Bombyx mori: one gene and its partners. The protein of the gene in region 2 interacts with the protein of the main gene of each other region in a pairwise test. Links are inferred from orthologs where the notes say so. Each region holds a gene or a part of one and is shown on either strand. Other genes may lie near its edges.

The links. The genes of interacting proteins can lie anywhere in the genome.
Region 1: the proteins of raf (region 2) and Ras3 interact in a two-hybrid assay, tested with the Drosophila melanogaster proteins (2 studies listed by BioGRID). The link is inferred for Bombyx mori from reciprocal best matches to the Drosophila melanogaster genes Raf and Rap1.
Region 3: the proteins of raf (region 2) and Ras1 interact in a two-hybrid assay, tested with the Drosophila melanogaster proteins (2 studies listed by BioGRID). The link is inferred for Bombyx mori from reciprocal best matches to the Drosophila melanogaster genes Raf and Ras85D.

What each region holds. Positions count from the first base shown.
Region 1 is NC_085112.1:14,078,505-14,082,375, forward strand, and holds Ras3 (ras protein), read right to left. Parts: upstream 2,707-3,871; 5' UTR 2,596-2,706; coding exon 2,041-2,595; 3' UTR 503-2,040; downstream 1-502. UniProt on the Drosophila melanogaster protein: Ras proteins bind GDP/GTP and possess intrinsic GTPase activity. Plays a role in photoreceptor cell determination.
Region 2 is NC_085121.1:974,362-977,878, forward strand, and holds part of raf (raf kinase, effector of Ras), read right to left. Parts: intron 3,493-3,517; coding exon 3,371-3,492; intron 2,479-3,370; coding exon 2,361-2,478; intron 978-2,360; coding exon 873-977; intron 187-872; coding exon 45-186; intron 1-44.
Region 3 is NC_085127.1:13,622,845-13,626,904, forward strand, and holds the start of Ras1 (ras-like protein 1), read right to left. Parts: upstream 2,803-4,060; 5' UTR 2,592-2,802; coding exon 2,196-2,591; intron 473-2,195; exon of another isoform or gene 1-472. UniProt on the Drosophila melanogaster protein: Ras proteins bind GDP/GTP and possess intrinsic GTPase activity. Plays a role in eye development by regulating cell growth, survival of postmitotic ommatidial cells and differentiation of photoreceptor cells.

The sequences.
Region 1 (3,871 bases), on a different chromosome or scaffold from region 2:
ATTTAGCTTCATAGTTCATCCCATGGTGTGCTCGATCTATGCGTTAGATCTTGTTACACAATATGGGGTGTGCCAGTGGTGAATTAATATAATACTTATTTTATCTAACTAGCTAGATTGCTTGATTATCATAGTTCTGTCGTACTTTGTTAGAATTACGTTAATATGTAGGACTGTGTCAATTCTTATGTTACTAGAATGTCGACATACGACCGCCACGTCTCACTGCGTTTATATTTAATATTATTGTGTGTTCTATAACGTGTAAGCAACACTTTTTATGTATCTTTTTTACACTGAAATAAAATAGTAGCAGATGATGTGCTGTCGTTTAATTTGATTATAAACCATTAAAATTCTCCGAGTCAATTGGTGTTTATTTGATTGTCGGTGGGGGTACGTCGCGCCAGGACCGATAGTTGTACCATGACTCATCAGACACTAACCAGGTCAATTGACATGAGGGGAGCATCACGGGAGGGACAAAATATACCCTAAGACATCATATTTAAAATTGGTTTTATTGATAAATTTGCAAAAGAAAAAGAAATTAATATTTATTGTACATGTCGATTATTATTGATCGAAAGATAAAAATATACAATATTTTCTTTGATTTGCACAATATATATAAAAAAATATAATTAAAAACTCAGATCAAAGTTTTTATACCAATATCCTTGTGCAGTAGTCATTAACTTTAACAGAAGAAAAATTGAGGAAACATCTAATTCTCGTAACAATATTTCAAACATCTATCATTACTTTTAACAAAGTTCTAGCAGCAAAACGTTGGCTGGTATTTAATTAATATTAAAAAATGAGACTGTAATTAGTAAACTTCATTTTATTTATAATAACGATAATTTTTATTTAGAACTCTTTATATTTTTAGGGGTCAATTGTACAGTGCCAATGGTGTAAGCACAACAAATGGCACAGGACTCCACCATAGAGACATCAACAACTATCTGCAGGGTGCAATCACCTAAGGCTTCTCTAAAATTTAAATTTATCAAGTTCTAAACTGTTACGCTAACATTCTCTTCAATACACTTGAATTATATAACAAGACAATAATATATCTGAAAAAATTTAATGTATCCTTAATTATTAAACATTACACTGGTTCAGACCAGCTGGCACAGAATACACCGAGCTTGTCTTCTACAGCCTCCGTCTAAATGTCACATAGACATAACGGATAATTCCAATCAGTACAATTAGACTCTAGTTAACAACCTTATGTTAGGTCCAAACAGCAAATAAAAACTAAATGCTTAATAACTGGCATTTTAACAATTTCAAATGAATAATATGAATTGTTTGTTTAATGCGTGTGCCCTTGATGCGTTTCATGGCAAATGTGTTGTTTTCTCAGGAATTTTCCTGTGTAATTGACAGAAGACTGTCTGTACCCAACACGGTTATTTATAATAACACAATTCATAAAATTTTCCACTGAATTTTGAAAAAAAAAATGGAATTGATTCTAATACTGAGGAGGCCATGGAGAGTGCATGCTGACATCGAAAAATATTTACTGTGGAGTCTATTACGGTTTGTTCAATCATATACTTTGAAGTTTTAGATAAGAATGGGACACACTCCCCATAGGCTCAAAATACAATGTTTTACATCATAAGTAGTAAAGGAATATTTTTTTTATAATCATTTACAACTTCGCAATCTAACCGCATCCACACAATACAAATGGAATTTTCTAGAGTGAAACACACAAAGACAATGAATTTATCCTCAAATACTGTACTATCAAAATAGAGTAAGATATTATTAACTACGCCTGTACAGAGAAAATGTGGTTATCATCAGTGACACTGGATTTCACGAGTGTTACCGCACATGTAATATACAGTGTAACAAACACACATTCTCATACAGGTATTTTGAAGCAACAATGTTCATCACCCGACCTAGATAAACTTTGGGAACTGCCGAGAGCCAAATCTGGGTACAAGAAGTCTTTCAAATTATTAAATATATTTATACCTAGACGCGTCGGAGACTCGTACAGCACTCTTACAGAATAATACATTTCCGTTTATTAGGTTTGTGTTCATCCTTCTTGGGGGACTTCTTGTTGATCTGTCTCACTAAGTCATAGAACACATCGTTAACATGTATTTTCGCTTTTGCCGACGTCTCCATGAAAGCGCAGTTGAAGTGGCGCGCCAGATTTTGTCCCTGTTCCTTGCCAACCACGCGCTCCGCCTCTAGATCGGTTTTGTTGCCTACCAGAACCATTGGCACGTCGGTCGTGTCCTTCACTCGCAGGATTTGTTCACGTAGATCCTGTAGGTCATTGAACGTAGACTGTGCTGTGATAGAGTACACCAACACGAACCCTTGCCCGTTCTTCATGTAGAGATCCCGCATCGCGGTAAACTGCTCTGTACCTGCGGTATCCAGGATCTCGAGCATACATTGCTGTCCATCAACTTCCACTTGTTTCCTGTAGCTGTCTTCGATGGTTGGGTCGTATTTCTCGACAAAGATGCCTTGTACAAATTGCACTGTCAGGGCGGACTTTCCCACGCCTCCGCTGCCTAACACAACTATTTTGTACTCGCGCATTATTCCCTATATTGTGTCACTTGAATTTGTTTATAGAAATTAAAGATCAAATCGGTAATAAGCACATTAACTTGGTAATTATTGCAAAAAAAACCTTCAACAAGTCAAACCGCCATGACACCGTTAAGAGGGCGATGGCTCACTATGTTAGTGTTGCTGACTTGAAAAATTAACCTGATTTCCCATTGACTACCTACTATTCAGTTCACTAGTATTAAGAATATAAATATTTCTACTCACAAACTATAGTATATCGACTCGGCTAATTTAAATAAAACTATTTTTGTTTCGTGTTCTACTTTTAGCAGACACAGAACGACTAATAAAAAATCATGAACAGGACGCTGCACAGGACCAGTACAATTATTTCATTTAGAACAATCAATTGTACTGACTAGCGAATAAATGCATTAATTTAACAAATTTTCGTAAAAAATAATTTTATAATATTAATTAGTGTAATTTTTAAAAAAAGGAATCGTATGTTATTTGATAAATTTTTCGTTTTTTTATCTATGTAGCTAGTGTAGCTACGCAAGACAATTTTTATTTATTTAGACTGCTAATAGTTCTAAAAGCTGTGTACAGAGGGCAGTGCAACAAATTTTCAAAAGGTTGTCGCTAAGGACACGACACTTTAGGGAGAATTAATTGTTATCAGTATAAGCTATATTATAAATTTTATTTCTTTATATCATCCTCCTGTTTATTTTTTATTTAATGAAGCAATCTCAGTTTTAAAGGAGGCCGTTCCAATGAATAAAATGGTGTCTTCAAATGCCTCATGCTTTAATACGACTGGGTCGCGAGATCTCCAGGGCTTTTTTTTGTTTATTGCCCTTGTAGGCAGACGCAGTGGCGGATTTACCCTAAGGCCCGGTAGGCCCGGGCCTAGGGCGGCCAGATTTAAGGATTTAACGTATGGCGGGCGGACTGCACTGCATGATGCAATCTATACCGCATCCTTAAATATTCTTCTGTTTTTTAAACTATTTTTTTTCCTACTTTTCTAAATCTATTTAGCTAAAAGTTGGCAATAAAGTAATTTCATTATGTAGTCTATATGGTGGATGCTGAGAAAGGGGCGGCTAATGGCTTGGGGCTTAGGGCGGCCGAGACTGCAAATCCGCCACTGAGCATACGGCCCACCTGACGGTGAGTGGTTACCGTTGCCCATGGACTTCAACAATGCCAGGGGCAGAGTCAAGCCACTGGCTACCGCTTAATACTCTCCACGAGCCTCGTTTGAAGAAGGACATGTCATAGCGCTCGGGAA
Region 2 (3,517 bases):
CCGACCGCTGCACTAGACTGAGACTGAGATGCGGAGGGACTGACCTATCCTGGCGCCGATGAGTATCTCGTCGGCCGGGATGACCCAGTCATCGTAGCTCTCCCGCGGCGACAGCGCGTTCTTCCACGACTCGTCCGCAGAGCGCGCGCGCGCCCGCCGCGGCCGCAGCGTGCCCGTCGGAGACGTCTGCGGCACAGTTGTATTCTCGTGTTCAACCTTTTTACTGATTGTAGGGCCTCTTGTGAGTCCGCACCACCAGGAGGGTGGGGTAGATGCCACCACCCTGCCTATTTCTGCCGTGAAGCAGTAATACATTCCGGTTTGAAGGGCGGCGCAGCCGTTGTATCTATACTGATACCTTAGAACTCATATCTCAAGTGAATTTTTATTATTTTTATATTATTGCTCTTGTAGGCAGACGAGCATACGGCCCACCTGATGGTGAGTGGTTACCGTCGCCCATGGACTTCAGCAATGCCAGGAGGCAGAGCCAAGCCGCTGCCTACCTACATTTACGTTGTAGATGTCTACGGACTCCGCTAACTACTTAACACCAAGTGAGCTGTGAGCTCGTCCACCCAGCTAAGCAATAAATAAATATATACACTTCACATTACATGACCATATGTGTACGCGGTTTTATCCATTGGGTTTGAGTATATTAGATTTCTTCGAGAACTATTCGCATAGCTTTTTCTAATGTTATAGATTCAAAGCTCAGGCTCTTACTCCATGACCAGACCTCTTTCGTGTTTATATGATTACCTACATCTTAATTGTTTGTCAATTTAAATAGCAGTAATGTAAATGTTATAAGTGTGCAATAAGAGGATGATGTGTGTGGTGTAGTGTCGAGTGTCGTGATGCGTCACCTGCGTGCTGTGGCTGTGCGGATGGTCGCTGTCGTCCGCCTCGTCCTTGCTGGGCCCGCTCGAGCTCAGATAGTTCGACGACTGCGTGGAGTTGTCGCTGCCGTGCTGTACGCCCAGCAACAATATAACGACTTCACTAATATTAAGACAGTGTTGTTTTTTTTAAGCTATTGCATAGATTTTATCGCGGGCCTGAGCGCGGCGACCGAATCATGAAATTCCGTAACGAAAAAAATCTTACACCCCTCACTCCGCCTACCATGTAGCTCGCGTTCAACACATTCACACGTTGCGCTTGTGTAGTGTTCGTGAATAAGCGCGTGGCGTGACGTCACACTGCATGCGCATCATGAAAAGTCTGCCCATCTCTCTCTCACGCGGTCTAGCTTATGAGTGTGAAGGGGACAGTTAAGGTTTTGCTTTTATTAATATTTAATATAGCGTCTTCTTGTTTTATTATTGTTTTAATATTAAATTGTCATTGTCTAATTATAATTGCATAAGTTGATAAAAAATGCTATGCAATAGCTTTATCGCGGCAGTTCCCGATTGCCACACGTTTTTTTTTTATTGCTTAGATGGGTGGACGAGCTCACAATCCACCTGGTATTAAGTGGTTACTGGACCCCACAGACATCCACAACGTAAATGCGCCACCCACCTTGAGATATAAGTTCTAAGATCTCAAGTATAGTTACAACGGCTGCCCCACCCTTCAAACCGAAACGCATTACTGCTTCACGGCAGAAATAGGCAGGGTGGTGGTACCCACTCGCGCGGCCTCACAAGAGGTCCTCTACCACTAGTAAAAATTATTATTTTAAATGATCAAATGCTGTTTTGATAAATATCAGAAAAATGTAGGGTAGACGCTGTAATGCCAAAGTATGAAATGGTGGTACGTCAGAGTCGGGCCGTCACTTAGTCAGTCGGAACGAAACTGTCAGTTTAACCTGTCATTGTGAAAATTATTTGTTTAGAGTTTCAATAATTCTGCTAATTCCAGTTTAAGAGCGGTAATGTACTAAGTACAACGGTATGCGGTCCCTCGTGCAGCGTCACGCCTCCGCTGATTAATAATCGAGTTACATTTCGTTTATGAAACAGAAGAATAGATTATTTTGATGTTTTCATATATATTTTCGAATAAAATTATGTTAAATAAATAATAATACTAAGCGAGGGTTCGTATTCTATGATTGTCGCTGAACTTTAGAGTTAGTCTAACTAATTGTTACGAACGTTAGTCTCACTAGAACCTCTGTACCTGTATCCACACCAGTGTGCCTAGTGCGAGTTTTTTGAACGTTCTCGATAGCGTAAAAGTCAACTCTATGCAGTTAGAACAGCGCCCCTAGCGGCAAACGTAGGCAAACATTCCAACTCCATATAACTGTGAGTTAACTTTTACGCTAACGAAAACGTTAAAAAACTCGCACTAAGCACACAGGACCATAATTGTGTTGATGGTTAGAAAAACTATATTACCTGACTGTAGCATTTTTGATGTTCAGCTAGCGTCAAAGGCTTCTGCACCATGTTGATGCAAACATTTGGAGCAGAATTTGATCGGTCTTGCTGGTTCAATGAACGTGGGTGTGGTTGTCTGGTGGACAAAATAAACAGATTACAGACATTAACAATAGAGAATTGTATAACGTATGACACAGAGAGTTGACACAAAAATGAAGAAAAACTAGTTTTTTAAATTAGTGTATATATTAATGGAACCAAAACTTGTCAAATGTACATACTGAGATCTTAGAACTTATATCTCAAGGTGGATGGCGCATTTACGTTGTGGATGTCTATGGGGTCCAGTAACCACTTAACACCAGGTGGGCTGTGAGCTCATCCATCCATCTAAGCAATAAAAAAAAAAACGCCAACTCTTTTTTCCTACCTATTCGTTGGTAGTATACAGGGCAATTCCAGCTACGATCGGACGGGTAGGTGAGCTCACGGGTTCAACCTGACAGAATTTGCTAACACCAGCCCTAGCAAGAGCAGTGCTTCGCTGAATCTACCACCGGATCGGAATAGCGACCCACCGACAAGATCTGGCGAGAAACTCAGTAGGCTGTATCTATGGGTTAGTTCACTCGTGGAATCGACGAGTTCCACGAGAACCGGTGCTGGAGGCCTAAAAGCACCGAGAGTAAATCCGGTGGATCCGACAAGACATGTTTTGGGCGACGGCGGTTTTGCATTGACCCGTCGCTTGGGCAGGATAAGTAATTAGCGGCGGTACACACTAAGCGGATTATCGTGTCGCGCCGCTTTGTCGAAGTAGTGTTCTGACACTACCTTAAGATGCTTACGTATAGGTTCTAAATTTAGGTCGTCGTGAAGGTCAACATTCCTCACGTACCACGATGCTCCGGCGGCTATCCTGCAGAAACGGGATTGGATGACCTCAAGAGAGTTTATGTGCATGCGCGCCCCGTGAGCGAACACTAAGCTTGCATAGGTGTCGACGGAAATTTTATGCTACTCACTTGCTTTGGTCTCCTCTCATCCCAGGATGGTACCCGAAGTGGGGAGGATAGTGTAGAATGCCAGCTTGAGTTTCTGGGTTCTGTGCCAACAGTGCTGCATAATATGTATCTGTCATACGTACCTGTCGAAACGAAATACAAATCATT
Region 3 (4,060 bases), on a different chromosome or scaffold from region 2:
AAGCTCTAAGATCCACCTCCTTGATGCAAAATGGCTGGACAAAGCAATCGCTGCAGTGGTATACCCTGAGAAGCCCTATCATAGTCTCACCATAACATGAATTAAAAATATGTTATATCAATATGGAGAATGTTAGCGTGTTTCATATATTTGTTAGAATTATTGTATATTATCACTGGTGGTAGGCTACAGAAGCATTTTCAAAATAAGATTAAACAACTACTGTGATGACAAATTTTATTATAAGTAGGTTTCCCACAGTTATAACATATTATTATGTAATACAGAAATATGTTCTGTTTTTAATAGCAGTTTAAATCCTATTTAGTGACTAATCAATTTTTGTTTTCATGTTATAATTAATATAACAGTAATTATTGTTAGCTAATGCATAAGGAAATGCTATTATTATGTTGACAAAATATCTGAATATTCAATAAAATAATGAATAAATAATGAAATAACATTTTAATGTTTGTGTCATTTTAATATAGAGACACAAGGAGAAAAACAGTGAGGTATGTGCAGCCTGTAGAGGAAATTGGATAAAACTCACGTAAAAGTCTGTAACGGTAATTGGAGAAAGTCTGTTTCTTAGATTAGACGTGAGCTCATGTTTCACTGTTAACTGGATATCGTATTGTTCATAGATGATCTGTACATAAGAAATTACAGTGCTGAGAATTGAGAGAGATTATAAAAGTAGAAGGAAGTTAGAATTCAAGTAAATAATTGAGACTCAAATAGCTAAAAATACAAGGAGTATTGTCGAGATCCATGTACAAATACTTTCGGTACCAGTAGTTCTCAATTCCGGGGATATTTTTTTTTATAGTGCCTTGTTATACATGAAAATAATAGCAGTTTTTTAATTATTTTAAGTTTAAAGTCTAAATGTAAAGTGTAGGTATTGCTTAAAATTTTCGGGAGTTCTAGAGATAATTAAAATCATTTTTACAGTTTACACAATTAAAATAATTAATTATTTTTATTTCATATTTTACAGTAATTAGTACGGTATTCGGATGTCGGTGAATAATACCTCTTGTGTCTTTTGTGACTACAAAACACAAGATTAAACTACAAAAGTCTTAACTAAACAGTAAGGTGTGTTTGTAATTAATTAAAAAAATGCTTCTGCTATGTTAGTCTTAGGCACACTACATATCGAGGTCAATTAGGTGAGACAGTAAATTATAACTAAAACTGTTAATGATCTATATCAACTGTGGGTACTGATGACAAGAGTACACAGTAATTAGCTGTGTTTAACTTTTGAACTTTTTCAGTCAAGTTAGGACTTAATGAATATTAGCCATAAACTATTTTTAACTTTATTTGTAAATTCAATGAATTCTTTTCACACAAGCCGAACCACACTACACTGTGTTTCGCACATGTCTGTTAGAAAATATGCAAACTAACCTCTTTTTCTTAAAAGCCTTTATGTTAGGGTTGTATCATTTTGTTTGCTCTAAAATACTCTAGATGGTAGGTTAATTATGCATTACTCCAAAACAGAAGTTTCACATACAAAAATAAGACTACATTAAATTCCAGTATGCTTTACTGACAGAAGGCAAATTATTTATTTACACAATCATGTTTTCAAACTAAGTAAGTCCAAAAGAATTGATAAAAATGTGTCCTAAATTCCTCAGAAGTTCAGGCAGAAATCAATAATAAACAAACAAATGTCCATGAGAATCATAAACTTAATAGGTAACTGGCAATGGCCATTTTATCTTAAGACAAAGATAAATAGCTCATATTATTATCTTAATGAAAAAAAAAACTTGATGTTACACAAAAAGAACAAGTTCTAAGTTTGACTCAAAAATGTTTAATGTTTTAAATAAATTTAAAGTGAAATTCTATAATAATTTTAGCTTATCTCATTTGTTTTATCATTATAAACATGGTACTATTTAATTGTACTTGATCTTGTCTTACACAAAGTCAAATCCAAGGTTTTTGAGGAGGAAGTATTGTGTTTATGTAAAGTTGTTCTTTGGATATATTTTCGGTACTAAAAACATTCAGATAATATATTAAAAGCAATGGGAATTTATGAGAGAAAAAACTCATATGACAGAATGCAGAACACAAATTTTATTGATTTTGTAAGTTTGTATAGAAATTTTTGTTTATTAGGTAATGAGTTTTATTATGATGATGTAAGAATGTTTACGAACCTCTCGTGCTCGCGCCATGTCTACGGCCCACGACTGTAGGTCGCACTTGTTGCCCACAAGTACCATGGGCACCTCTTCCGCGTCCTTCACTCGCTTGATCTGCTCGCGATACGAGCCAATGTCTTCGAAACTTTTAGCACTGTTGACGGCGAATACCAGCAAGAATCCTTCCCCGGTCCGCATGTATTGGTCTCTCATCGCCGAATACTCTTCCTGGCCAGCCGTGTCCAGGATGTCGAGTAAACACGTCTCACCGTCGATCACGACTTGTTTACGGTACGAATCCTCTATCGTGGGATCGTATTCGTCCACGAAGTGATTCTGTATCAGCTGTATAGTCAATGCGGATTTACCAACGCCTCCCGCACCCACAACCACCAATTTGTACTCGGTCATCTTGCGAGATATACAAAATATTTTTTCACACAATGTCACGGCACTAGAAAACAACGCCCCAGAATCACCACACTTGTATTACTCACATCTGCATGGCTGTCGCGGCCTATGTTTTATTACACTTGATGTGACCGTAAAACGGCTAATTAATGTATTATTAGAGTCAAATGCAATAAATAACACAATGAGGCGGTTCACTCACCCTTTTACTGGAGTGCGAGAGTACGTTCAGAAACTAAAAGGTACTTGTCACTTGATGAGTCATCCCAAAACAAATTTAAACGTTTTCTTTGTTACTTTGCAAAAAGTAATATTAAGAAGAGATATATCATTTTTCTTCAAACTTTATATTAATTATCATATGTTAAATGAATGTATTTTTAGTTTTAGAATTCTGAACGTTTCCAATTTTTACTAATCTTTTTATTTGCCAAAATCAAACTGGTAATTAATTCAACCAAACCACAACAGATGTCGCTACAAAAAGGTTGAAGCCTTAATTTAAACGTAAGGTTTTAAATGTTGTAAGGTTTCAGTTTTATTATTACAGGCTGCTCCATGTTTCAAACCGAAACGCATTATTGCTTCACGGCAAAAATAGGCGGGGTGGTGGTACCTACCTACCCGTGCGGACAGACGTCCTTGCACCAGTCATTACGCATTTTTTAATTTTGTTTTATTGCTTAGATGGGTCGACGAGCTCACAGCTCCCCTGGTGTTAAGTGATTACTGGAGCCATAGGCATCTACAATGTAAATGCGCCACCCACCGTGAGATATAAGTTCTAAGATCTCAACTACATATTACAAATATAGTTAAATTATAATTTTTGCGGGTTTGATTTTTATTACACGATGTTATTCCTTCACCGAGGAAGTCAATCGTGAACAATTGTTAAGTAGGTATGTATTTCATTAAAAAAATTGGTCCCCTCCTGCGTGATTCGAACACCGTTGCATTACTCGACACGAATGCACCGGGCGTCTTATCCTTTAGGCCACGACGACTTCTTCAAAACGATTGAGGTAAGTAGGAATACTGTTACTACAAGTTAATAATAATTAACTAAAAATAAATAATACATTTTCTGTTACATAAGAGAAATATGTTATGTTGCAAGCCAGTTTTTTTTTACTTGTTGTTACTTTTTGTGTATCTTTTTAGCTTGTAATGTGTATTGTGTGTCTGATAAATAAAAAAATGGTCGAGAACAGGCTAATTATATAAATAATTTAATGGTTTTTACCAAAACAGAAAAAATGCTACACGTGTGCTATAATTGAGTCGTCTATTATCAAAGGTGGCAATCTGTGCATTTGGACAAAAAAATGTTATCGATATGTCAATACAGATTGATTTGAATATAATCGTCTCCTTCAAAGAATACGGTTCAAAACCTGCATTAAATAAAGGTTAATACTTAACCTGTTATTTATCTAAGATGTCGTTCAGAAGAGTTTTGTGACTGC